Linked DNA regions of Mus musculus. Each later gene encodes a partner of the first gene's protein in a complex. Links are inferred from orthologs where the notes say so. Each region holds a gene or a part of one and is shown on either strand. Other genes may lie near its edges. The genes, in order: Arid1a, Smarce1, Smarcb1, Smarcd3, Dpf1, Actl6b and Phf10.

Evidence for each region.
Region 2: Arid1a (region 1) and Smarce1 share a complex: the UniProt entries of both Homo sapiens proteins name them as parts of the neuron-specific chromatin remodeling complex. The link is inferred for Mus musculus from reciprocal best matches to the Homo sapiens genes ARID1A and SMARCE1.
Region 3: Arid1a (region 1) and Smarcb1 share a complex: the UniProt entries of both Homo sapiens proteins name them as parts of the neuron-specific chromatin remodeling complex. The link is inferred for Mus musculus from reciprocal best matches to the Homo sapiens genes ARID1A and SMARCB1.
Region 4: Arid1a (region 1) and Smarcd3 share a complex: the UniProt entries of both Homo sapiens proteins name them as parts of the neuron-specific chromatin remodeling complex. The link is inferred for Mus musculus from reciprocal best matches to the Homo sapiens genes ARID1A and SMARCD3.
Region 5: Arid1a (region 1) and Dpf1 share a complex: the UniProt entries of both Homo sapiens proteins name them as parts of the neuron-specific chromatin remodeling complex. The link is inferred for Mus musculus from reciprocal best matches to the Homo sapiens genes ARID1A and DPF1.
Region 6: Arid1a (region 1) and Actl6b share a complex: the UniProt entries of both Homo sapiens proteins name them as parts of the neuron-specific chromatin remodeling complex. The link is inferred for Mus musculus from reciprocal best matches to the Homo sapiens genes ARID1A and ACTL6B.
Region 7: Arid1a (region 1) and Phf10 share a complex: the UniProt entries of both Homo sapiens proteins name them as parts of the neural progenitors-specific chromatin remodeling complex. The link is inferred for Mus musculus from reciprocal best matches to the Homo sapiens genes ARID1A and PHF10.

What each region holds. Positions count from the first base shown.
Region 1 is NC_000070.6:133,751,186-133,755,358, forward strand, and holds the start of Arid1a (AT-rich interactive domain-containing protein 1A), read right to left. Parts: upstream 2,801-4,173; 5' UTR 2,427-2,800; coding exon 1,284-2,426; intron 1-1,283. UniProt on the Homo sapiens protein: Involved in transcriptional activation and repression of select genes by chromatin remodeling (alteration of DNA-nucleosome topology).
Region 2 is NC_000077.6:99,217,518-99,221,017, reverse strand, and holds part of Smarce1 (SWI/SNF-related matrix-associated actin-dependent regulator of chromatin subfamily E member 1), read left to right. Parts: intron 1-282; coding exon 283-363; intron 364-1,271; coding exon 1,272-1,403; intron 1,404-1,626; coding exon 1,627-1,798; intron 1,799-3,500. UniProt on the Homo sapiens protein: Involved in transcriptional activation and repression of select genes by chromatin remodeling (alteration of DNA-nucleosome topology).
Region 3 is NC_000076.6:75,915,115-75,918,614, reverse strand, and holds part of Smarcb1 (SWI/SNF-related matrix-associated actin-dependent regulator of chromatin subfamily B member 1), read left to right. Parts: intron 1-1,703; coding exon 1,704-1,842; intron 1,843-3,421; coding exon 3,422-3,500.
Region 4 is NC_000071.6:24,599,203-24,603,425, forward strand, and holds the start of Smarcd3 (SWI/SNF-related matrix-associated actin-dependent regulator of chromatin subfamily D member 3), read right to left. Parts: upstream 2,801-4,223; 5' UTR 2,657-2,800; coding exon 2,579-2,656; intron 2,563-2,578; exon of another isoform or gene 1,934-2,562; intron 1-1,933. UniProt on the Homo sapiens protein: Involved in transcriptional activation and repression of select genes by chromatin remodeling (alteration of DNA-nucleosome topology).
Region 5 is NC_000073.6:29,314,501-29,318,000, reverse strand, and holds the end of Dpf1 (zinc finger protein neuro-d4), read right to left. Parts: intron 2,378-3,500; coding exon 2,265-2,377; intron 1,788-2,264; coding exon of another isoform or gene 1,758-1,787; coding exon 1,676-1,757; intron 1,521-1,675; coding exon 1,450-1,520; 3' UTR 415-1,449; downstream 1-414. UniProt on the Homo sapiens protein: May have an important role in developing neurons by participating in regulation of cell survival, possibly as a neurospecific transcription factor. Belongs to the neuron-specific chromatin remodeling complex (nBAF complex).
Region 6 is NC_000071.6:137,552,232-137,556,345, reverse strand, and holds the start of Actl6b (actin-like protein 6B), read right to left. Parts: upstream 2,801-4,114; 5' UTR 2,712-2,800; coding exon 2,687-2,711; exon of another isoform or gene 2,563-2,686; intron 2,283-2,562; coding exon 2,206-2,282; intron 1,834-2,205; coding exon 1,668-1,833; intron 1,351-1,667; coding exon 1,250-1,350; intron 1-1,249. UniProt on the Homo sapiens protein: Involved in transcriptional activation and repression of select genes by chromatin remodeling (alteration of DNA-nucleosome topology).
Region 7 is NC_000083.6:14,951,261-14,954,760, forward strand, and holds part of Phf10 (PHD finger protein 10), read right to left. Parts: intron 2,865-3,500; coding exon 2,755-2,864; intron 1,514-2,754; coding exon 1,360-1,513; intron 1-1,359. UniProt on the Homo sapiens protein: Involved in transcription activity regulation by chromatin remodeling. Belongs to the neural progenitors-specific chromatin remodeling complex (npBAF complex) and is required for the proliferation of neural progenitors.

The DNA.
Region 1 (4,173 bases):
TACATTTGCTTTTCATAAAAAAATAGCCAGTAAAATAATTTCAGTTCTGTAACTCAACAGTATAAGTGAACAGTGTCAAAAACTACTCAAGACAAATGTATCTTCAGCGCCATCAAAGAACTCATTTATACCATCAGGAAAGTAACAAAAACGAAAACAAACAGCAAACCCATTGTAGAGAAAAACTCAGCTACTGTTCCAACAACACAGAATCTATTTCAGACTGCATAAAACATAACAAGCAAAATAAATCCAAGGTGCAAGCAAAATGCCATCGCCTCCTCTTTTGTTTCAGGCACAATGTAACAAGGGCAGCCTGTCTGGGACTCTGCTCCTGCTGATACAGTATTGCTGCTTAAACCTCCCTCCTCAAGGTCACAGCCAATTTCAGCTCTGGAATAAAAGGCGGATAGTGGCAGCGAAGGTTTGGGTTATCACTGGCAGAAAAGCAGAGTGTAAAAGTTTATGAGCTCATCAGGATTGTTGTACCATTACATCAGAGGCAATTATAAATGGCCAAGAGCAGAAGATGGGGAGCCAATCAGATCACAGATAGGATGTCAACCTAAGACCAACTGTCTCCTGGCTTTGACAGAAGGATTTTACCTCCATAATTCAAATCCCAAACCAAAGCAATCTGCACTTACTACTCCAATCACTCTGTGTTTACCAGCACTTCAGAGAGAAGCCCAGGCCACTGGGCCGCCGGAGACTGAGGCAAGAGGTGGCCCCGGCGGCCCAGAGCGAACCACAGTCGGCCTCGAGCTGCCCCCAAGCAGGCCCCAGCTCTCCCCCGAGGTCCCCCGAGCCCTAGGGGCCACTCTTTAAAAGCGTATATTGGGGAACGGCCTAGAGGAAGGCAAGGGGGATCAGAGGAGCGGCAGGTGAGCAAGAAAACGTTGCTTCTTTCTCCCGGATTCATGACACTGCCTACACCCCTAACCTGAACCCCCAGCACCCCCCCCCGCGACCGGGCCTGGCCCTTCCAGGCACACTTTGCTCTGCACCCCCCTGGAGACCCCCAGAGTTCGAAAGGACCAGCGGAGGAGGAGAAACCGGACAGACACCCCTGGAAAAGCCCCACACAAAGGCTGATCGAGGGAAGGAGAGGAAGGCAGACAGGCAGCCATTTTAAGAGAGAAGAGCCAGACAATGGCAGCTCCCCGGCAGTGGGGGCCCAAGCCCGAGGGGAGCCCACGGCCGGGGCCTGCTTCCCCGCAGCCGCCACCCAGCCCACCCCCCGGCCCCGCTGGCCCCAGCCCCCTCCCCGCTCGGCTGTGTACCTGAGGGGTCCGGGCGAGCGGCTGCCCCCCGCCGCCGCTGCTCCCGGGGCTCATGGGCGCGTGGTGGCTCCTTTGTTGGGCCCCTCCCGAGACGGCCGCTGCCGCCGCCGCCGCCGCCGCCGCAGCCCCCCAGCACTGCGAGGCCATGTCCGCCGGGCCTTTGCCCGCGCCCCCGTCCTGGGGCCCGCCGCCGTAGTCGCCCCCGGGGTAGCCCTGGTAGCCACGGGCCGAGCTGGGCGACGTGAGCAGTTGGTTGAGGGTGGGGGTGGCGGTGGGCTGGGGAGTTCCCCCGCCGGCCGCTGAGGGGCCGCCTCCCCCCATGGCCCCGAAGCGCTGCTGTGCGAAGGACGAAGACGACGAGGAGGCAGAGGCGCTGGAGGAGGGAGGCGGCTTGGAGCCGGCGGCCGCCGCCGCGCCGGAGCCCGGAGTGCCACCTCTCGGGGAGCTCAGCGCGTAGGCCTGGGGAGGCGGGGGGTAGGCGCTGCGGTTGGGGTAGTAGGAGTTGTACTGGTGGTTGGGGAAGCCGTGGTCGTGCGAGTTCTGCTGGGGCCCGGCGTAGGGCTCCAAGCCCCCGCCGCCGCCGCTCTGCAGCGCTGCCAGGCCAGGGCTTTGTTGTCCGCCATGTTGTTGGTGGAAGACGGCGGCCGCCGCGGCGGCGACGGCAGACGGGCTCCGGCCGTAGGCTTGCCCGAAGCCGTAGGCTGGGGGCGGCAGGGCGGCCGCGGCCGAGTGAGGAGGCGCCCCCACCCCGTCGCTGCTGCTGCTGCCGCCGCCGCCGCCGCCGCCGGGCGGCTCCGGGAGGTTATTGTTCAGGGCGGGCCTAGGGCCCGCGTTCCCGTTCGAGTTCTTCAGGTCCGGCTCCGCGCCGGGCCCGCCGCCGCTGCCGGCTCCGCCGCCGCCGCCACCCCCATTGCTCTCGGCCCCGTCCTGCAGCTCCTTTCCCAGCGGCTGCGGCGGCCCCACGGCGGGGCCCTCGCTCTCCTGCCCGGCGGCTGCCTTCATTTCCCCGCGCTCGGCCGCTGCCGCCGCCGCCTCGCCCCCCGCCTCCTCCCGCTGTTGCTGCTCGGCTTTCTTCAGCTCCGAGGGCGGCGGCGGCGGGTTGCCCAGGCTGCTGGCGGCGGCGGGGGCGACCTGCGCGGCCATGATCCCCGCTGTCTCGTCCGCGGAGAGACCCGGCCCTGTCTTCGTCTTCTCCCCCCTCCCACCCCGCCCCGGGGCCGAGTCCCCCGGGCTGCCCTCCCCACCCGCCCGGGCGGGCCTCGCGGGGCTCCGCTGCTGCGCTGCGCTCGCTCCTCTCCCCCCCGCCCCGCCGGCTCAGGCTCCGGGCTGGCGGCGGAGGAGGAGGAGGAGGCGGCGGCGGCAGCCGAGGCGCCGGCGGCTCAGCTGCTCCGGGCTCTGGCGGCTCGGGACCCGGCTCTCCCGGCTCATTCCCCCCAAGCCCTTGCCTGGGAATGAGGGGGGCGGTGGAGGCTCCGCTCCCCAGGGCCTGGCCCCGCTGTGACTCTCCGCTTTCTGCTGCCGGAGAAAGGAGGAGGGAGGGAGGGAGGGAGGCGAGGGGGAGGGGGCGGGAAAGGAGGGAGGGAGCGGGGGGGGAGGGGGGACCCGGGACGGGCGGGCGGGCGGGCGGGCTGGAGGGCGCGCGGCGGCGGACGGGGCGCCGGGAGGCAGAGTAGGAGCGCTGCTCTGGCGGGCGCCCTGCCTCGCCTCCCCGGCCGCGGCTCGGGCCGAGGCTGCTGCTTGGCGGCGGGCGGGCGGGCGAGAGAGCGAACGAGAGAGCGGGCGGGCGGGCGGCGGGACTGAGCAGCTAGAGCGCCCCACTCTCCTCCGAGTCCCCCTCACTCCGACACGAGGCTCAGCACTGCCATTTTACCCAGCGCCGTCGCGGCCGCCTGAAAAACCAGGACTGGAGCGCGGAGCGGGCGCAGGCCGTGGAATGGACTCGCTCCCTTCCCCTCACAAAGGAGGAGGGGAGAGAAGGAGCCGCGGCGGCGGCGGCAAGCCCTCAGCCTCTTTCGCTCGGCTGCGCCGCCGCCGAAGGCTTCGGGGAAAACCCGGCCCGGAGCCCGCGCCTCCGGAGCCTGCGCCGCCTCGCTCGCCGCGTTCCCAGCCTGGCCTGTCCCCTCCCGGCCGCTCCAAAGGGAGCGGGCCGCGTGAACTTTACCCGCGCCTGCAAAATTGGCCTGAGCCCGAAACCGCGGCCGCCGCGGCCGGGACCTGACCCCCTGGCACCGGGCCTGGGCTCTTGGCTGCGACTTAGCACCTCCGCAGCACTTTTCTTCTTCAAAGCCTTTTGCAGACCTGCTCTAGAGACCCAGCTGAGCGAGCCCTGCTTTTCCCCCCCTTTGGCTAGCCCCAAAGGAGGACTGACCATTGTTCAAACTATCGGTTCTCCCGTGCCCTGCCCTCATTAGCCCTCTCTGACAAGGCCCTGGGGGCATGAGGTCTGGATTATCTCCCCCCCCCCCATTTTACCAACAGACTGAAGGGAGGGGACTGCCCAGGTCACTTAAAGTCAGAGGGCAGAAGTGTGTGGCTATAAAAAGTGGAGTGAGTGGCCGAAGCCGCATCTTGTCTACTTAGCCAGAGAAAAGGAGGAAAAGAGAAAAGAAAGGCACTTACGTTGTGAACAAATCCAACCACCGGATCAGATCAGTGTCAGGAGGTTTGAAAATCAAACGTGGTCATCCCACCACTTCTCTTAAAATGGTGGCTACTGATGCGTTGGGGGCTTAAGACAGTCCTCCAGGCAAACCAAGCTCCATTAGCACTTCCTAAGGGAACCTAGCTCACAATGGCCAGTAGCCCAATCTTCAAAGGCAAGTACCTTGGAAGACTGTAAACAGCCCACAGAAGAGGCTCCAGGGACTGAAAGAACCTCTGTTCAAAAACC
Region 2 (3,500 bases), on another chromosome or scaffold:
TATGGATTATTATATAATATTTTATTCTTGCAGGCAGCTTGTCAAAACAGTGGCAATTAACTGCTAAGTAAAACGTTAAATATCATGTGTTTAAAGTCATTTTCTTCTGATAAAAACATTTCTGAATTTGCAGTGATGTCTATTTTCTTTGGAGGAAATATAAGGATCTTGTATCCATGGACGAGTAGAAGAAAGGCGCATTAGAATTTTTAAGGGACTTTCTTTTCAGGTGGCAGTGAGCTCCTTGCAGTTGAATAATGAGTATATTTCACTCTTTTACAGGCGTCCTCTGGCATTACGATTCCAAAGCCTCCAAAGCCACCAGATAAGCCGCTGATGCCCTACATGAGGTACAGCAGAAAGGTGGGTGCCGGAGAGCTCCGCCTATGGCCTTACGTGCAATTTCAGGCTGGCTTGCCGTCTTCTTTATACATATTTGAGGGAAGAATTTTAAAACTTGTACTTTTTTAAGTAGTTCATTCTCATTCAGAAATCCAGAACTCAGGAGCATGGTTAAATTAACTGCTAAAATCTTTTTAAACAGATTAGTCTGCAGCCATGAAAGTGATATCTTTTTGAGAATATTGGAAAACATGAGAAGAATGTTAAATAGAAAGTAGAGTATAAGACTGTATATATTAATATCTTACAGTGGCGCACGCCTTTAATCCCAGCACTTGGGAGGCAGAGGCAGGCAGATTTCTGAGTTTGAGGCCTCTACAGAGTGAGTCCCAGGACAGCCAGGGTTACACAGAGAAACCCTGTCTCGAAAAAACCAAAAAATAATAACAATAATAATAATAAGTCTGGGAGTAGTTCAGTGGTAGAACACTTGCCTGACTACAGTAAGCGCTTAGGTTCAATTCCAAGAGTACCAAGTGAATTCATAAGTACAGTAAAAATATTGATCATAGTTAATACATATGTGTTTGGTAGTATGACAAATTAACTACCTTGAATTGACTTGAACAGTTAGAGACTTAGAGTTCATTTAATTCTCTACGAGTGTGAGCAGTGATTAGTGGTGCCCTTAGCTTAATCAGTTTCAAATATTTATGAGCAACTGACAGTGGTGAGTAAGATCCAGTGGGATAAGGAGGGCATGGGGTAAGCCAGCTGTTGGCAGTTTTGAAACAGGCTGATTGCTACAAAGGAGTTTGATACTGTCTTCTTTGCTTTTTCTTGTATTTAAACGTTTCCATATTAGAGTGTTTTTAAATGACTATATACTTAGGCACTAATATTGAATTTTCAACTATTGACTTTTTAAGGTCTGGGACCAAGTAAAGGCTTCCAACCCTGACCTAAAGTTGTGGGAGATTGGCAAGATTATTGGTGGCATGTGGCGAGATCTCACTGATGAAGAGAAGCAAGAATATTTAAACGAATACGAAGCAGAAAAGGTAGGAGGACTGCCTTGGCTTATTATTTATAAAAGAAACCAAGCGTGACCAGATGGCTGAGCCACACTGCAGTTTTGTCCACCAAGCTTCACTCATCTGAGTGGCACATTCTTTGTTCTGTCCCGACATCCTGTTTTACCTCTCCCTCTGATGTTCAGAGGGACAGTGCAGGTGGCCTGTGGAGTAGAATGGACATTATAAAACCAGCCCCTTTGACTTTCAGATAGAGTACAATGAGTCTATGAAGGCCTACCATAATTCCCCTGCGTACCTTGCCTATATTAATGCAAAAAGTCGTGCGGAAGCTGCATTAGAGGAAGAAAGTCGACAGAGACAGTCTCGCATGGAGAAAGGAGAACCTTACATGAGCATTCAGCCTGCTGAGGATCCAGACGGTAAGGTGGAAAACGGGGCTTTGTATATGTATTCTCTCTGAATTAGAAAAGAAATTTAGTTCAAGGCATTTTTATTCTTTTAAATGGAAAAGCATAATTTTAAGTCTTTTTGTTGTAGTAAGATTTTAAGTAGTAAGATTTTTGCGTGTGACTTTCTCATGGAAAAAATACTCCTTACAGGGTGGAAAATTATCAAAGAAAAAAAGCTGTATTTATTACTTATCAAAGTCTTTATACTCAGAATAGAGGATTTGTTTGATTTTCGAGACAGGGCCTCACTGTGTTGCCCAGACTTACCTGATTCTCCAGTCCCAGCTTCCAAATTCTGGGATAAATTTTTGCTGACACACCCTATCTTTGGTTTTTCGAGACAGGGTTTCTCTGTGTAGCCCTGGCTGTCCTGGAACTCACTTTGTAGACCAGGCTGTCCTCGAACTCAGAAATCCGCCTGCCTCTGCCTCCTGAGTGCTGGGATTAAAGGCGTGCGCCACCACACCCAGGTGACACACCCTGTCTTAATCAGGGTTTCTATTCCTGCACAAAACAAGCAAGCTGGAGAGGAAAGGGTTTATTCAGCTTCCACATTGCTGTTCCTCACCAAAGGAAGTCAGGACAGGAACTCACACAGGACAGGGACTTGGAGGCGGGAGCTGATGCAGAGGCCACAGAGGAATGAGTGCTGCTTACTGGCTTGCTCTGTAGATTGACCTTGAAGGCAGAGATCCCCATGGCTCTGTCTCCTGTGATGCTGGGATTAAAGGTGTGTACCAACATGCTTGGATCTAAATTTAGCTGGATGGGATTTTACCCCCAAATCCCTTAATGTCTTATTTCCTAGAACATACAATTCAGCTCCATTTGACTTCCTGGTGTCCCTTTAATACCTGAACCATATATTTTATGTTTTTCCTTTCTTTTTTTTTTTTTTTAGGTATTTTCTTCATTTACATTTCAAATGCTATCCCAAAAGTCCCCCAGACCCTCCTCATGTTTTTCCTTTCTAAGCTTGCTGCCCTTATTCAAAATGCTCTTCATGAGACTTAACCAGGGAACAAAGTCTCTACTGGGCTTTTTGAGACTTCCTTTGTCAGTGCAGTTAATATAAGTTCTCTTTACCTTAGCCTCAGGTAGACTCTTCAGGCAAGGGCAAAAAAGCAGCCACATTCTTTACCAAAATACCACAAAAACAGTCTCTAGGCCACATACTGAAATTCTTCTCCACTGAACCCCTTGGGCCAGGTCCGCATAGTTCAGATCACTCTCAGCAACAGTCTTCCATATTCCTACTAGGATGGCTCATTAAGCCCCACTTAAAGCATTCCAATGCTTTCCAAATCAAAAGGCTATCTGGTGTGCAGCCCTGTGGAAGGGTTGTTCGACATACACCTGGGTCATACACCACAGTTCTAGGAGGACATGAGAGACGGAAACGTGCAGAAAACCAAGACACAGAAGCCTTGTCTGGCCTTGTCTGTGAGGGCAGCATCCACTGGCTTCTTAGAGGAGTGTCAGAAGGTCCACAAGACTAACCTTGACTCACACCTCCATAGTCAGGGCTTTCTAAATGATTCTTCAGCAGCAAGCAAGCCTCTGTATGTAGCAGGGTTTCTTTCCTAAAGCACGGTCCCTGCATCTGTCTGAAGTGCGAGAAGGATTAGGTCTGGATGGAGAGATGGCTCAGCAGTTAAGAACACCAACTGGT
Region 3 (3,500 bases), on another chromosome or scaffold:
TGGATGGCCCTCGGTCCCTTTGTCATAGAAAATGAATTCAGTATTCAGACAGATGGGCAGACACAGTAACAGTAGCAGCTGTGTCTGATGTCTGTGGAGCTGCTTGGGGAGGATGCTCTCAGTGGATATGACTGTGCCCCTGTCATCCTGTCATCTGCCACAGGAGAAATCAATGTCCAAGTCCAGAATCTTTATTTAGTATTCCAAAGAGGGCCAAGTGGCCCAGCCTGGTGTTAGGGTTTATGGTACAGGACCCTCGCTGTAGCCATGGGGGACTACTTTGCAGTGCATTCCTTTAGTCCTAGTACCCAGTAGGCCCACCTTTGTCAGTTCAAGGACAGCCTGGTCTATATAGTGAGTCCAGGCCAACCAGGACTATGTAGGAAAAAAATAGCTGATCGTATTGCTAACTTTTTTCTAAATTTGTTTGTTTGTTTTTTGTTTTTTGAGACAGGGTTTCTCTGTGTAGCCCTGGCTGTCCTGAAACTCACTCTCTGTAGACCAGGCTGGCCTCTAACTCAGAAATCCGCCTGCCTCTGCCTCCCAAGTGCTCGGATTAAAGGTGTGCGCCACCACTGCCTGGTGCTAACTTTTTTCTAAATATGAATGGAAACAGTACTTTTACCTTTGGGTGATAATGACCCACAAGCCAAACAGCAACAAGGAGTCTTCAGTGTTCTGTATAGACTGTTTGGCTCTTGGGCTTAACAGCTCTGGCTGTTGGTCATGGAAATCTTTTCTGGAAGGAAAGTGCAGAGACTACTTTCACTTAATAAATGTATGCTAGATACATAGATACGATTAAAAGAATAATAGAAATGATCCTTTCTAAAGCAGAATCCAGACTTGAGGGCTTGGTGTGGCTGTGCGTGCCTTTAATCCCAGTATTCTGTGAGCAGAGGCAGGTCCAGTCCATCTCTGATTCAAGGACAGCCTTGTCTACATAGTGAGTTCTTGGCCAGCTAGGGCTACATGGTGAGAATCTGTCTTAGGGGAAAAATGTCAGGGTTTTTAAGCACTTGACAGGTGAGTAACAAGGCCTAGATTCACTGTCAGAGTGAGCACCTCACACCCATCTATTGGTTGTCCTCACAGTGTGACTCTGAAAATAGCATTTCTGAATAGTCAGTGAGACCGTAGCATATCTTTAAAAAACCCACAGGACAGGCTTCTTATGAAGGCCATATTTACAGTATCACTACAAACAAACTGACGCTGTTACTTGGGGGAAGTCGTGATTTATAGGATAGGCTAGGGATTACTAATATAGTGCTTTTTTTAGACTCTAGAAAATTCTTTGGCATCTCTGGTTTGAGTTTTATTACTAAACAAAGCAACATAGGCAACGGGACAAATTATCTTGCATCTGCCTAAAATTAAAGACTTTTTGGTGTTTATTGGCTTGTAAAAATATCAAAGTCTGCTTCTTAAGATGAAAGAAGGTCACAGGAGTCTTACATTTCAGAACAGTGCCAACATCTCTAGTCAGGTCCGAATCACAAGCTTCTTACTGAGCTCTGGGATCCTCCCTTGGTTCTGAAGTCAGGAGACACAGATGCCAACCAGATGTGCACTGCTGGTGAACCCTTGATGTCAGCAGAATGTGCTTGCTGACAGCCGAAAGCCTGGCGCCTGGAGGCATTGTCTCAGTGTGGTGCTAGGTAGCCCGACCCTCATAATGAGCCTTCTTGCTTTACCCATAGGTGGGAAACTACCTGCGTATGTTCCGAGGTTCTCTGTACAAGAGATACCCCTCACTCTGGCGGCGACTAGCCACTGTGGAAGAAAGGAAGAAAATAGTGGCATCGTCACATGGTAAAAAAACAAAACCTAACACTAAGGGTGCGTCTTCACGAGGGTTTGTAAACCTGTTTCAAAACCACTCGCTTATGTCATGAAGATAAAACGTTTTCACTCCAGTGTCTTCATTGCAGCCTGACCTTAGTTCGGGAGGGAGCATCCTGGGGCGGGCCACCCTGCCAGAGCACACACACCTCAGGTGAGAGTGGCTCAGGAATAGAGTCTCCCGTACTCCACTGTTGTATGTTCCTGGCTGGGGCAGTGGGTGCGTGAGGGACTGGGGCCAGGGCAGTTGCAGGTGCTGTGAAGACATGTTGGTCTCAAAACGTTTTAGGAATGCTGAGATTTGCTTCATTTGCTGTGAGTGTGTTGCTGTAGTCATCCTTGTAGATGGTGGCACTCTCTTTCCTCTGGGCCTTTTACCACTTCCCTCCCTCAGCACATCCATCCTGTAAATACTTCATCTTGACAACCAGTGTGCTAAGCTCACATGCATGTACCCATTCCGTGTGGCAGGCCCTGTGCCTGGGGCTTGCCAGGTGAGCAGTCTGATGCTGGTGAAACTAGTGCGAGCTCTGGGCTGTGGCAACTCTGTGCAGCGTGACGCTGCTCTTCGTATATTTTGGCGCCTCCAGCATATGGGTTTGGGTATGGGTGCAGTATGACATCTGGCTGGTGGCAAAACTGCTTTCCACTCAGCAAAGACACCCTGTAGAGAGCTGCCCCAGGCCTGCATGCATGTGTGCATGCATGCATGCTTGCTCGCTAGCACTCTGTCGTCTGTCTTGTCTGTAGGTGCTAATGTAGTTTTGTCTATTATGGTAAACTGGGGGTTCTTTTAATGCAGGAGCCAGAGCTGCTTTTATTCACTACTAAAACATACCCACTGTTGCCTAAAACAGTTTTTCTTTGTATCCTTTGTGCCACAAGTGGAGGACAGTCACTAGTATGGTGACTGACTAGCTCTGCCTACCCTTCCTTGAGTTCCCATGAAGTCCTACTGGTCTTTCTGCTGTGTTCCTTCCTGCCCTGTAACCACGAGAGTCCTCCAGTGACGCTAAGCAGGTCCTGTCAATAACTCGCAGCTCTTGACAAAGGTGCTCTAGAAAAGCTGGGGCTCACGGCGTATGAAGTCTGTCTTATTTTCCAGACAGCACATCTGGACTGGCTCGGGGACGGTAACTTCTGCTTAAGTGAAACACTTCTTTCCAACTCTCTGGGCTCTTGTTTTAAAAGAAAAGTAGTCCTCTTTCATCCCGTCTCATACTTGCATTGTGTTTTAGATTGTGGTAGTGTCAGACCTCTTCCCACTGGGGTGTTACTCAGAAGCCTTCCTGGCAGCCACTAAGCTGCAGCTACTCCAAACATCTCTGCCTCTGAGCTAATGCTCGAAGGAGGCGAATTCCTCCAGATCCATCCCACCGGAGGCTTTCTCCACTAGAATGTCTAGGCAAAGCCTCAGGCCAGTTGCCCTTTTGGAAGACGCTAGCACTCAGCAGTAGTGAGTTTACACCTTGCTTTCCCAGCCTCCTGCATGTGAGGACCTCCTGTGCTGTATCCGTGGTTGGCAGCTTGTTCACACTGCTGCAGGATGACCGCAGTGGGGTCTCTCTGCTTACAGATCATGGATATACCACCCTGGCCACCAGCGTGACACTCCTGAAAGCCTCAGAGGTAGAAGAGATCCTGGATGGCAATGA
Region 4 (4,223 bases), on another chromosome or scaffold:
TCAAAGAAAACAGCGACCTCACCAAGGTCACCCTGCTCTTCCTGGCAAAGGCAGCACCTGGCGGGCCCTGCTCCCCGCTGCTTCGCTGCGGTGAGGGAGGGGCTGATCTCCTGCCCTCATTCTCCATTTCCACACCCCACTTCTGGGTCTGATGTGTTTTGTACTTGAGCCCCTATCTCCATTTCGGAGCCCCCTGCTTTTGGCACCTCAATCTCAAACATAACTGGTACAGCTAACTCCAGGTCTCCACACCCACTGACTTAACCTGCCTCTTTAATTTTATTTCTCCCAAGATGATACAAGAGACTGGGCAAGGGGACCTGCGGGTCTGGTGTCATCAAACTCTGCCAGGTTTTCTTGAGTGGCAAGTGGGGAACGGGACTAGAAGTGGACTGCCAGTGCAGGGATGTGAAGGAAGCAGCATCTGTAGCAGTATCCATTTCCCCCTCCCATCTGCCCACATCAGAGACAACCTATTCCTCACAATATCCCAGAAAGGGTAGAAATTGGAGGGAAATGAGGCAGGTTGATTTTCTCTGGCCACCAGCTCTGGGCAGTCAATCAAAAGAGATGAGATGTGAATGCAAGTGGAGTGTTTCAGATTTCACTTGTCCAAGCCCAGGAAGGGGGCTGAGGCTTGGGGACCTAGACCAGGAAGGGTATTAGGGAGAGGGGAATGAAACCCCTATTATTTAAACACTACCATCTCAGGCTAGGGATGTAGCTTGGTTAAGGGCTTGTGCAATACATGTGGTGCTCTGGGTTCGATCCCCAGCATCAAATAAACTGCACATGATAGCACATACTTTTTTTTTTTTTTTTTTTTTTGAGACAGGGTTTCTCTGTGTAGCCCTGGCTGTCCTGGAACTCACTCTGTAGACCAGGCTGGCCTTGAACTCAGAAATCCACCTGCCTCTGCCTCCCGAGTGCTGGGATTAAAGGCGTGCGCCACCACCGCCTGGCATGATAGCACATACTTATAATCCTAATCTTGAGGTGAAGGCAGAAAATCAAGACCACCCTCTGATATATAGTGAATTTGAGGCCAGCCTGGGCTACAGAAGGCCATGCACACACACACCCTTCTCATCTTGCCCCCTGGATTAAGAAGCCCTAACCCTAACCCTGGGCTTCCTTTCTCCTCTTACATTGCTTACCTCTGAGGTCTCCACCCAGAGCCAAGCAGCTGTCTCTGCCCATCTCTTCTATAGTCAAACAGGCCTGTCCCTGAACTTGCCTCCCCCATTCCACCTGACTCTGTCACTCACAGCACCAATGTCACCAGCGTGGAAGCTCAAGCCTAGCCATTCTCCATCACTATAGAGGGGACTCTAATCATCCAAGAACCGAACTACCAAGTTGACCACATTCAATTCCATATGCAGAGCCTCTTCACTGGATGGTAGTCTTTAAAGCAACTACTCTTAAGCAGCTAGGTCAGGATTGGTAACTCCACTAACCCATAGGGCTGCCTTGGAATTTATACCCCAGAGATCCCTATGGCTAGAGAACAGGCTGCCACAGAGAAGCCCTCTTCCCTATCAGCCACTCTCCTATTCATCAAGGCCACTGATACTGTTGGGTCTAATGAGGCCCTGAGAAGAAGGCTTCTAGGGGCCCCCAGGAGCCTGCCATCAGTAACAGCCTCATAAGGGTCAGATTCTGGGGGCCCTTGCCTCTCACTGAAATGGTGCTTCCTGGAGTCACAACCAAATTTGGCCATAGTAAATATGACTGACTCTTCCCTCCATATGCCCAGGCTTAGAGCTCCTCACAGCAGGCTCTCCACCTCAATAGGTTCCTGGGTACCCTCAGACTCCTCACATGTCTTCGTGAGTGTGTGAGTGTGTGTGTGTGTGTGTGTTAGAACGGTATAGTACTATCCCTTTGGTTTCTAGGCCTCATGTCCCCAACTCCTGCCCCTCCTTCACACCTTTGAGGTGTTAAGGTCATCAACTTCTGGTGGCTGAGCCTGCCAAGGAGATCTTCTGACTGCTTAACTTGAGGTCTCACAAGTAGACCCTTCTCAGCTCTGACAGCAGGGCCAAGTCCTCAAGGCCCTCCTGCTAGGATGCAGAGGTTGTTCAGCAGAGAGCTTTTGCTCTTAGGTCACCTGCTCCTAGCTGCTCAGACCTAGTCGGAGTGACCCTGTCCCAAAGGATGAACAGGGACAACAGGCAGCCCTGCCCTAGCTGTGTGTTCGAGTCACCACCCCACCCCCACCCCCAGGGCAGGGGTAACACCTGAGCCCACCAGTAAAAGAATGTGAGACATGTCAGTTACAGAGGGGACCCCCCTCTTGGGGGAGGCACGGTGCCCACATCCCACCCCTTGCCCCTGAGAAGAACCCAAGCCGACGCCTCTCTTCCCGGCCGCCGCGCGCCCATCCCCAGCCGACCGCTTGGCGACGTGTTCGGATGCCAGGGCGCCCGCAAGGTCCCAGGGTTGGGCCGTGACCGTGCGCCCCTCAACCAAAGGGGTGGGAGAGCCGGAGCGCGCCGGCGGCCCCTCCCGATCATCCCTCCATTCAGCCCGAGCCAGCTCGCTCACCCTCCCCCGCTAACTTTCCCCCACTCACCACCCCATGGACCAGAAACTCAAAAAGTTTGCTTTTCGTGGCTTTGCGCGCCCCTCCGGCAACTTCGTCCGCGGCCATCGGGGTGGGCTCAGCGGCTCCTCTCACTCTCTCTCTCTCTTCCTCTTTCTTTCCCTTTTCTGCCTTTTTTTTCCTCCAACTCTCCCCTCTGAGTCCTGCTGGGCTCTCTCACACTTCTACTCGAGCGGAGTGGGGAGGGGGCCCCTTCAGGGCTGCCCTGACGGCCCACGGCCCACGCCGCCGCCGCCGCCCGCCCGCCGCCGCCGCCGCCGCGGCTGCCGCATTCCTGCACTGATAAGACAGAAATAGTCCGGCGGCCCGGGGTCTGCCTGCGACGCGCCGGGGACGGAGCGGCCCTCCTGTGCACTCCGCGTGGTCCAAGCGGCGCACAGAAGCGGCGAGACGAGCCGATCTGCCCGGAGGCTGCGCGATGGGCAGCTGCGCTGCGCCCAGGCCGCCCGGGGCCCATCGGTGGCGGCTCGGGGAGGGAACACCACGGGAGGTGACAAGGGGCTCGCCAGCCACTCTGCCCTCGCCACAAATAGTTTCTCGGTTAGGGAATTCGCCGACATGGCCAGGCAGGGAACAGACAGTTCCAACTTTTTTCCCCCAAGTGGCTCCTGCAGCATTTCTGAGGCCCTTTCCCCTGGGACCAGGCAGGCCAAGTAGGGAAACATTTGCTGGAAGGAATCTGGGGGGGAACCCGAGCCCGAAGCAGGCCTTGCTCCTGTCCCAGGGCCAGCGCGGTGGGTGTGCCGGGCTAGGCGGGCTCCCGGGCGCCCGCAGATGTGTGTGCCCTTGTCTCGCACACCGTGTGTCTGCACCCTTTTGTGGCACGGCGCAGAGGCTGTGGGTGTGGATGTTTATGTGCGTGCACTGACAAACGCCCAGTCTGTGTGCTTCCCTTCACAAGAGCCGCCGAGCCTGCGCGCGTGCGTGCGGGGCAGGACACGGCCTGTGTCTTTCAGCTCTGTTGGAGTCTATTTCTGGGCTTGTGAGTCTTTGTTTGTCTCTGTGCGAGAAAGTGAGGGCAATAGGGGAAATATTTCCGAAAAGGGGACATGGACTGGACTCATGAGAACAGGAGGAGTACATTGTGAGGAATGGCGCGGATCCAGGGTGGGTACTTGGGTGGGTAGGAGGAAAGGGTGAGGCAAGCAGGGCTTGATGGCTTTGGCGCGGAGACCCAGAGAGCTCGGGATTGGTGAAGTCCGCCCCAGAACCGAAGAGAAAGCAGGAGTGTGGGGTAGGAAGACGAGGAAACCCTAAATGGGACAGTGTGGATAGAACTGGCCATCCCTGGAGGGGAGGAAGAACAGAAAGGAGGGGACAAATCCTGAGATCCCTAGGTTGAGCCCAAGCTCCGCCCATTCCACAAGCCACGCCTGTCCCCACCTTCTGAAGGAGGAGTCCGCGGGTTTCAGGACAATCAAGGGTCAGGTTTATGGGCTAGCTGGGGCTGCCGCTGAGAGAGGGACAATGCCTGAGGGAACTTGTGGGAACACATACAATTTGAGCCCTCAAGACCCATTGCACCGAGGGACCCTAACCTTTGGCCCTTCAGAATGTCTTCATGGGTCAGGATAAGGAGCAGAGGAATGCTCTCCCAGTCTATTTGGCCTGTATC
Region 5 (3,500 bases), on another chromosome or scaffold:
TGAGATGTCCTCCTGTCCTCCACTTTTAACCACACCCAGGTCAGGGAATCCCAAGTGACAGCCAGCCATGCTGAGGTGCTATCTCCCAAACCCTAGCCAGGGAGGGGGCTGCCTTCTGGTCTCTCCAGCCCTCCCTTCCCCCCAGTCTTCACTCCCACCTCCCTCTTTGAGCTGCCTCCCGCTGCAGCTGCAGCAGCCCGTTGCTATGGCAACCACAGCTGGCTGGGTGGGAGCCCCTCCACCCCATCCCCCTCTTCTCTCCAGCAAGACAGGGAGGAGCTGGGACAAAGCCACAGGGAGGCATGGTGTAGGGGCAAAGAGGTGGGGGCCAGCCACAGTGGCTTCTACCCCAGTGAGGCCCCTTGGCTTCCCATGTTGGTGACACCCCAAAAGAGGTTAGAGATGGAAGCAGTTGTGGGCAGAGGGGTCAGGCCCAGTTTAATACACAGAACAAGTTAATTCACAGCAGAGGCAGGCAATAAAGGAGACTTGGTGGCAAGGGGGGTACTCCTGGATTGGGGGCAGACTCCCCCAGACCCTCCACCTCCCCCACTTGCAGTCTCAATTTCCCCTTTTAAAAACCCGAACAACAAACACACACAACCACGAGAAACAACCACACCCCCTTGCCACCCCCAAATGGCTAGCGAGGGGGGCAGGAGGCAGCCCAGCCTGGCTGGGTAGGGAAGGAAAGGGGTGGGAAGGGAGAAAGGAAAAAAAAAAAAAAAAAAAAAAAAAACTGAGTCCATTGCAATCTGTGCTTCTCACTGCAGGGGGCTGGCTGCCTGCCTGCCTCACCCCACCCGCCTCCCCGGCTGCACGCCCCAGGCCTGGCAGGCAGGCACCACGCGGGCGCAGGGCGGGGCTCTCAAGGAGGAGGAGGAAGAGTTCAAAACCATAGTTCACATGCAGTATCCACGGTGGGTACTGAGGAAGGGGTGGTACCCACCTCAGATGGGAGTTGAGACCATTGCAACTCCAGAAATGAGGTGGGGAGGCGCCATTCAGGAAACTGGTAAAGTCAGGTCCCCAGCAGACACTCAACAGTGCCTCTCCACCCAGCCAGGCTTTATAGGACTCTTTGTATATATTAATTTTTTTCCCTTTTTTTTCCACGTTTTGTCTTTTTCTTTAGAAAAAGGCTCTTTCCGTGCTGCTGGCTAGCATCCACTACCCCTCTATGCCCGCCCAAAGGCGGGGGTATGGCTTTGAGGAGAGCAGAAGCCTGGTGCCCATTTGTCAAGGGATGAAGAGGGGGGACAGGAGGGACCCTGTTGGACCCAGCCACCCACAGGGTAACATTCCACTTGCAGAGGGAGAACACCTTGCCCCCCCCCACTCTGGGCTTCACCCCATCCCTTCCACTGGGGACACCGGGTGGGGAGCGCCAGGAGCTCCAAGAGGCAGGAGATAGCACCACCCAAAGATCCTGGGGAAGCAGAGCCGGGCCTAGGTCAGGGTGATGTAAGCAGAGGCCTTTTCCTTCAAGTGCCGGAGACAGAGGTGGCAGCTCCAGCTCCCTGCGGGGGAAGCCAAGAGACAAAATTAGACTGGAGCCCGATGGAGAGATGAAGAGCGCCCCCCACCTGTCCCCACCCGGAGCACATGGTCTCTGCCACCAGGAAGACAACGTTCCAACCCACCCACCCCATGTCTCGCCCACCCCTTCCCTCACCTTCCGGGGGCTCCGCCATGGGAGGGCTCAGGCAGTACATGTGGTAACCTCGATCGCAGTCATCACAGAACAGCAGCTGGTCCTGGGGGGTGAGACCCGCCCAGCTGGCACCCTGGGGGCACGGGCACCAGAAACCGGGGTGGGGGGCTGGGGCAGGGGCTGGGTCCCAGGGGCCCTTCTGAGAAAACTGGCTCTGCAGCCTGTACTGTGGAAGTCCACTGGCCTTGTCTGACGACTCACGGAGTCGGATTTTGTACTGAGTGATGCTCAGCGGGCCAGATACCAACTCCGGAGGTTCAAATCCTGGCCCTACAACCTTCTGACCTTGGTGACCTCAGGCCTCCTTCTCCCTCCCTGAGCTCAGCATCTTCTATGTGTAGTGGGAACAGGAGCACCAGCCTCAAGGGAGGTGGGGAGGTGTCATGGGAAAGAATATAAAAGAATAAGGACGGTGGCAACCGTACTGCACGCTAATGCTGGTCACTGGGAGTTATGAACAAGGAAGACTTTTAGGCCTCATGGGCAGAGTGGCAGAGGCAGGCCGGAAGGGAAGCTGGGGATGTGCCCGGGAGATGGGGTGGGCACTCACGTCATTCTCCGAGGTGCCACACAGGCTGCAGGACTTGCATTCAATGCACTGCCAGCGGTAGGTCCGCACAGCCGCGGTCATGTTCACCGTGAACTGTAAACACGAGGGATGTCCTGGGGGTCGAGGGGCAGGGATGCAGTTAGTGAGTTGTCATATCCCTGGTGGCTACTGACCCCTGGGGAGGTAATGGCTCTATCCCAAGCCCTGACTCTGAGGTCAAGGCGAGCTTTGTGGTGGGACCCTACCCCTGAGACAGACATCCGGAAGCTGGACTGCGTGGCAGGCAGCTGTGTGTTGGCCACCACAGTCTCCTACTCAGCCACCATGACAACCACACTTTGCTCCCCAGAACACCATGGCAACCGCATTCCATTACCCACAGTGCTGTGGCAACCACGTTCTACCACCCACAACACTGTGGCCACCACAGTCTGTTAGGTATCGCACTAGGGCAGCCACATTCCAATACCCACAGAGGGGCTGCCAGCCCTCCTGCTAACCACAGCAACGTGGCAGCCAACTTCTGCCAGCCAGGACACTATGGCAACCAAGCTCCATAACAGGGTCCCCACACCTTGCTTCGCTGAGACCAAAGGCCAGCCCACACAAGGCACCAGCAAACAAACTTCCACTGACAATGCTTGCCGTGGGAATTTGCTCAGTCATTCTCCCACAGTACGGAGACACCTGTAGCCACTGCCCACAGCACTTCCCACAGAGCCTGACAACCACTACCCATATCATTCAACAGCCACTGCCCACAACACCCAACAGTTACAACTACATCCCCCCGAGCCAGACACCAACAGCCCACACAGCCTGTCAGCCCACAGCGCCCAGTAGCCACAGCTCCTCACAGCCACAGTCCACCAAGACATAATGACCACATTCTACTGTATTAAATCGCAAAGACAACCCACACTGTAACGACCACAATCCATTACCCACGATGCTGATGCGACCAGTCTTACTACCCAGGAGGCCTCCATGGAAAACCACATTATATTAACCACAGTTCTACAGAACACAATCCTGCTATTCCCACTACCTAGGCGGTGCAATTCATTGCTCCCATAGCTCTGTCCCCTACCCACAATGCCTCCCTAACTTCTCTCTACTCTCCACCCGGGGAGAGCACAAAGCCATGGCACCTCGTACTGTTGGTTCCTCCTGTGCCAGCAAGTCCGCTCAGTTTCCCACAGACCCCGGCAGCAGAGGCAGTCCCAAGGACAGGCG
Region 6 (4,114 bases), on another chromosome or scaffold:
CACACAAACAACACACACACATACCAAAAATAATATGTCAGTTTTTCAAATGCAGAGAGCTAGGCAATGGTAACACATGCCTTTGATCCAAGCACTCAGGAGGCAGAGACAGACAGATGTCTGTAAGTTCAAGGCCAGCCTGGTCTACAAAGCTAATCTCAGGACAGCCATGGCTACCCAAAGAAACACTGTCTCAAAAAAAAAAAAAAATCAAACAACAAAGCAAAACAAACAAACACAGAAAGGGGCTGGAGAGATGGCTCAGTGGTTAAGAGTACTCTTTGGTCTTGGCAAGACCCGAGTTCAGTTCCCAGCACCCACAGTGGGTGGCCTCTAGCTCTAGTTCCATGGGCTCTGATGTCCTCTCCTGGTCTCCATGGGCATTGCACATATGTGATGTTTAGAAATATGGATAGGGTGAGATCTGGTGGTGTTCACCAGTCAGCACAGCCCTCAGGAGGATCTCAAGTCTGAGGCCAGCATGAGCTACACAGGGAGAGCTTGTCTCAGAAACAGACAAATGGAGCTGGCAAGAGAACTCAGTAGGTGAAGACATTTGCCACCAAGCAAGACCACCTGAGTTTAATCTCAGAATACACAGGAGAAAGGAGAGAACCTGCAATTTGTCCCTTGCCATATGTGTGTGTGCACACACAAATAAATAAGCAAACAAACAATAAAACGGGCAAACAATATATATATATATATATATCCAAACTGAAATCCTAGCATGAAATGATCCATTTAAATCCTACCCCTAGCAGAGGACCTATTGTTAACTGGTGGCTGCCTCTATGTAGTCACAACTGTCCTGGAACTCACTATGTAGTTGAATATTGATTTAAATTGCTGATCCTTCTGCTTCTACCTCCTGAGTGCTTGGATTACAACTGTAACTTCCCCTCCCCCCTTCAGTAGCGAGGCTTGAACCCAGAACCTTTTGCATGCCAGGCAAGATCTCTCACAACTTAGCTACATTGGTAATATTCATATATATGTATAACATGGACCAAAAAATGTGTGTGTGAACAACGCAGGGCAATGGAGTGGATGGAGCTGGAAGAGAGAAGGCGGGATGGAGGGTAAGCCAGGGAGGAAGGGAGGTGACAGAAGATGACAGTGTGAGCAGGACGAATCTGGAAAGGGAAGGGAAGTGACAGATAGTAGCGACTCCACATTAGAGGTGATGGCAGAAAGGATGTGTCTCCAGGGACTCAGGGCTGGACGTGGGTCTGGATGAGGCACTCACCGGAGCCTCCGACATGAGTACTGGGTGCAGGTTTGGCTCGGACTTGACATGTTTGCTGTAGGTATGATCCAGGATGGCTCGGAAGCACTCCCAGTCCTCAACTAGGGACAGAGGACCAGCGTGGAGAGATAGATGGGAAGGTGGGAAGGAAGGCAAGGATCAGAGACAGGAAGTAAAGGAAGGAGGGAGGCCAAGTCTGAAGGTAGGTGAGTCCAACTTCTGCTTACAAGCACCACCCCCCTTAAGTTCCAGAATTCTAGGGGAACTGGTCTGAAATCCCAGCAGTTGTAGGGAACAGTGAGACCCTTGGGACTTGGGCAGCAGCAAGCAAGGTTCTGTGGGTATGGAGATCGGCAGCCACACACTGGGCGTGGGGCTCCCAGTCTGTTTCAGAAAGTAGTGGGTGAGGGTCCCTTACTCATGCCATTCTTGAGGGGCGACATGACCTCCGCTCCATCCCGAGGCACGTGCAGGGCATTGGTGTCGATGTGGAAAATCTTCCCTTTCTTCTCTTTCTCCCCCTCCAGCTCCAGCCCGCCCCCCTCTTCTGCGGCCAGCAGCCCCACAGTGGTGGGGAAGTCAGCCTGGTTACAAGGAACATGAGCAGGGAGCTAGATTATTCCCTTCTTTTTTGGAGACAGGCTCTCACTGTGAACCTCTGGCTGGCCTGGAACTGTCGCTGTAGACCAGGCTGGACTTGAACTTACAGAGATCTGCATGTCTCTGCGTCCAGAGTGATGGGATTTAAAGGAACGCACTACCCTGCCCAGCTGGATCATCCCTGCTAGTCCCTGGTTCAATTGCACTCAAGGCCCTCAGCCACCCCCGGGGTCCTTCCCCTGTCTCCACTCAGGTGAGCTACTTGAATTGACCTGTGCGCATTTGTTCATAGGCCGACCCGCCTGGCAGAGGGTGTCCGAGCCCCTGGGATTTGGGGAGGGGACTGGAAGGCTCACCTTGGGGCAGTCCTCCCCAGCGTACCCAGCTCGGACTGAGAAAGAGCCAATGTCAAAGACGAGCGCCCCCACCTCATCTGTGCAAGGAGACAGGCTTGTGAGGAGACCTCTCCCAAACTGTCTCCCTATATAGCTTGGAGAGGATTCTGGGGTTATAGCCACAGTTTAAACTTCAGCGGGGAGTGGGTGGGAGATCCACCTGGACTTCAGGGCGTTCTGGAAGTAGAGGGTCAAAGCCACCAGAGTTCCCTCTTGCCTAGCGGCCTGGCAGGGAAAAGAAAGGTCCAGGGCCCGAGAGGCAGTGTACACTTGGGAACCCCAAGAGAATGGAAAGCAGAAGTAGTGGGAGACCCAAACCTCAGACTGGACCTGATGCAGTACGGAGGTGACAGGCCCAGGGATGCTCAGGGCTTGGGACGCGCGGGTTCGGGATGCAGGGCTGTAGACCAGGCCGAGAGCCCAGTGCCCCAGGCCGGCTCACCTCCGCCGTAGACGCCCCCGCTCATAGTGCCCTCTCTACGCTGCTCGCGGCCCGTGGGCGGCGGCGGGATCAGCACCGAGGCGGCCGGACAGCTCCCGGGATCCCGGGCGGGGCGGGGCGCAGCGGCGGCCAATCAGAACACTGGATCCCCTGCCCCCAACGGCGCGGCCGATTGGTTATGAAGCGAGACAATAACCCGGCTGGGGGCCGCTGCTTTAAAGGTACAGCCGCTTCTTCATTCCGAGGTTGGGAGGAGGCGAGGGTCCAATTGCAAAGACTATGGACACAGAGAAAAGAGGAAAGAGATGGAGACGAGGACTCCACAGGGCAACGGATGGAATGGGACCTTCTGATGACATGGGACCCTCGTTTCTTGGTCTTTTTTATTTATTCATATTTTTACGTAGGTGAGGGAGGGGTCTCCTCTCAACCAGAGATGTCCATCCTCAGACTCCTGAGCCAGAGTCTACCGCATTCAGTCTAAATGCAATCACAGAAATGAGGAGATGAGAAGACTGAGGGACCAGAGGAGTATGCCTCTCCATCTCTTCCTGTGTCTTTTTACCTTTGTCTCTGGGCTTATTTATTTATTTATTTATTTGACCAGAATGGTCTCAAACTCAGAGAGATTTCCATGCCGCTGCCTCCAGTACAGCACACGACTAGATTTTCCTTTTTCTTCCTTCCTTCCTTCCTTCCTTCCTTCCTTCCTTCCTTCCTTCCTTCCTTCCTTCTTTCTTTCTTTCTTTTCTTTCTTTTTTTCGAGACAGGGTTTCTCTGTGTAGTCCTGGCTGTCCTGGTAATCACTCTGTAGACTAGGCTGGCCTCGAACTTAGAAATCTGCCTGCCTCTGCCTCCCAAGTGCTGGGACTAAAAGCGTGCGCCACCACTGCCCAGCCCACAACTGGCTTTTCTTTTATTTAAGACAGGGTCTCATGTAGCCCAAACTCAAACTAATATATATATGAGGATGGCTTTGAACTTGTGGTCTCTTTACCTTCACTTCCTGGGTACTAAGATTACAAAGCCTATGCCAACACCCCAGTTTATGAGGGTCAGGGGATGGAACCCAGGCCTTCAGCATGTTAGACATGAACCGCATCTCCAGCCCCTTTCCTTCATCTTTCTGATGGCCATTTTTCCTTCTTGACTTTGTACATAACATATAATAAACATGTGAGTGCTCATGGCTAACATATAGTCACCTGGCTAACCTAGCAAGCCTTCTTTTTTACTATTTCTAAATTTTGAGATTATAATATATATGTATATATACTTAAAGATTTATTTATTTTATGTACACGAGCACACTGTCGCTGTTTGTCTTCGGACACACCAGAAGAGGGCATCGAATCTCATTACAGATGGTTGTGAGCCACCATGTGTTTTGGGAATCGAACCCAAAGCCTCCGGAAGAGAGCAGCCAGT
Region 7 (3,500 bases), on another chromosome or scaffold:
AATTTAAAAATTCATAGCCACCTGATAAACATCCTGAAATGACTGGGCACAAGAGCATGTTCCTTCCTTCCTGGTTTCTCTGTGTGTTTCTATCCTGCAGAGGCCCAGGCTCTCTCATACATACCCCATATCTTCCTAATGTGGTTTCATTCAGGCAGTGTAGTTTGCAAGACTGGTTGCACTGCATGTGTGTACACATGTTATCATACTGTGTATGCATCAGTAGACACATGATCAGTATGTGCACACAATCACACACACTCCATGTCCACGGCACATGTGTGCAAACGTGGGTAAAGTCCATGCATTTCCTCATCGTCTTTACACGACATTCTTTGGTGTAACTGTATCACCACAGTAGATAAAGATTTATTTCTAAATTCTGCACCATTAAAATCAGCATTTTTTTCTACTTAAATTTTGCTAACATCTAATTAAGTCCTTAGAATTAACTTTGTTAACAAATCTGCCAGGTCAAAATCTGTGAAAAAACTCTGGGTATGCTGTCAAAATGCTTTCCTCAAATATTCGATTAATTTATATTCCACAGAGCAATGTGATAAAGTTGGGTTCATCGTTATTTACTTCCATAGCTAGCTCCTCTCTGGTACCTGACAGGAGAGGCAGCACCAAGTGAACATGGGCAGAACCTGCTTTCATGGAGCACATAAGATTAAGTATGTGTTAGAAGCTGTTGTAGACAAGGGAATGCTACTCAATGAAAACAAACATTTGGGTGGCTACACTCTAACATATATAAGAGCCGTGGCTTAATGTGTATTTCTGCAAAAAGTCACAACCATAAACCACCTCAGGGCTACTGCCCTTCATGCTCTGAGAGCCAACATCCTGCTTTTTAGCAGCTAAATTTTTGATACGAGTTCTCTCTTCAGCAGCACATATACTAAATTTTTTGTTCAAAAAAGGCACCCCAAAAAACTAAATATCCTACACGTTAGTAAACTAACATTTTCCTACAGGAAGCCCAGATTAAGCAAAGGAGCCCAGGGTAATGTGTGCTGCCCCGGCCAAGAAAATGACGTTTCTCTGTGGCAAAGATCAGTCTATTTTGCTCAGTATTTTAATCTGCATAAACAGCATGTTGGGTAGAAGAATATTAATATTGAATACAATTCCCTATCTTGCTCAAAATAGTTTTTTAATATAAAATTTGTCTCCAAAAAAAAGCAATGCAAAACCTATTTATATCAACACACACTAAATATTCTTGTGAAAATTTTCTAGAAATATAGGCGACTGTCCTAGTCAACCAGTCTGGTAATAGAGTTCAATTTAACGTTCCAGGAAAGCAATCAGCAAATAACCCAAGAGTCCTCCCCTGCAGGTGCACAGTCCTACCGAAGTGCCTTTATTCTTCCGCTTCTCATCCCCTCCGCCATCTTCGCCATCATCTGAGTCTCCATCACTATCTAGTGCCGGGAGCTCTGGGTCCAGGGGCGGCTCATACAGGGCTGTGTTTAATGGCAAGTACCGAAGCTCATCTGGTGAGTACCTAAGTTTAGAAAGGCTGCTTTCATTCTTCCTTGAATAGTAAATATGTAAAAACTACTAAATTTGCTTTATGCCTCTCACATATACTTCACACAAATGGGTAGGAAGAATTTCATTTTGGTCATCAGGTGGGGATAAATGATGCTTTTTCGCAATCAGAATATTTTTCTCCCCAACTCTTTCCCTTTACCCTCAAAGCAAGCAAACAATGATAACTGATGTGTCAGCAGACAGGAGTGGAACCCAGGCAGCCAGGACGTGCTCCTGCTCAGCCACACACCCGAGGCGTGGTGACTTGTGCACCGCATCCTTCCACTCACAGAACAGGCTCAGAGAGCCAATGTCTCAAGACTGACAGAATGACGGAACAATGTCATCAAGTGCAACAGTTAGATAAAAATTAGCAAACAGTTTTTAACAGCGACTACTTTAAGACACTGTACAGCATGTACTGCAACATTTAAGTCTCCCTTTGTACTGTCCTGTCCGGCTGCACGAAGCCCTCCTGGTCTCAAAGCGCTATTGTTCAGGAGCTACCTCAGCACTAAAACACCAGAGCAGAACAGACAAGGTGGAAGAATACCAACAGATTTTCAGAAATTTCTGGACTGAAAAAAATTTTTGAAGTTAAAAATTTACACAATTTAAATTAGAATATCAAACAGCAAGTGCTCTGCCTTGCTATAAATTGGGTTTTCTGCAGAACCCCTACTCTGAGAACTGGTCTCCAGAATGAAGTCTACTGCTGGAAGCAAAGCAGAGATTCTGAAACAAGAACAACCCATTTGTACTGGTTTGAAAGGGTTTTGGTTCCATGTAAGATGGAAACAGGAAGTAAGTACACTTCCAGGGGTGTGGCCATGTGTGCCGCCATGGCACTTATCTGTCCCTTCTTTTCTCTCTCCTCCCACTGCTGTCACGTCACTCTCCACTCTGCATGTGTGAGCTCCACTCAAGTGAGGAGAGGAGAGGATCCTCATTTCACAGGCGCTTCCCGAGGATACCAAGCTCCGGGGCCATGTGCCACACAGAAAGCACTGGAGGCCGGCCCGTGCAGACAGGGCGGGCAGAGGCAGCACTCCTGACCTCACCAGCAGGCCTTCACTTCCAACAGAATGATGCTCTTTACACAGAACCCAAGAGGAAAAATGCAGACACAAATCCTACACATCTTTTGGTGTCACTGATAAACATAAATTTCTAGGAGGCCCAAAAAGCAATGATAATGAAAGTACTGACTACCTCTTATAATACTCCTGGAACTGTCCCGGGATGAGAGCCACTGGGTAGGAACTGACCTTCGTTCGGTCTGTCGGCAACACTTTGTACTTTCCTTGAGGCACTTGGATAACCTGTGTTAAGATCAAGAAATGTGAAAACTGATTCCAACCTGGGAATCAAGGCTTCAAGAAAAGAATCCCCATGTGTACACGACATCCATGTCCCCACACTATAGAAAAGCTAGCAATGTAACTAACACAGTAGCAGTGACCGAGGGGATAGGTGGTGCCTCCCAGCTGTGTGCTTGAGTTCTGTGCTTTACTTCCGTGCCTGTTATTCACCATGTGCACAGGCTCTGAAGGAAGGCAATGTGAAGTCTCTGGCTCACCATGGTCTTTTGTGAAGTGTGTAATTTCTTTGTAGCTCACCTGGCTCCTTCTATGAAATGTAGGGGACATTTGTGTAACCTCACAGGACTTCCATCAAAACCAAATAGACAAGCTCAGTGTGCTGCTCTTACCCACCCTCTAGGGACATGGGAGTTAGATACATAGTGTTCACCTTGCTCGGTAAACTCAATCATAAAGCAGAGAGATTTCAGAAAGAAGAAAAGGAAGGAGGGTGGAAGGTGAGAGGCAGGAAAATGGTACCTTAACTTCTATGAGAAAATAAACACAGCTAGCATAATAATAATAATAATAATAATAATAATAATAATAATAATAATAATAATAATAGACAGTGACCATTCTGCAGTAACAAAAGAG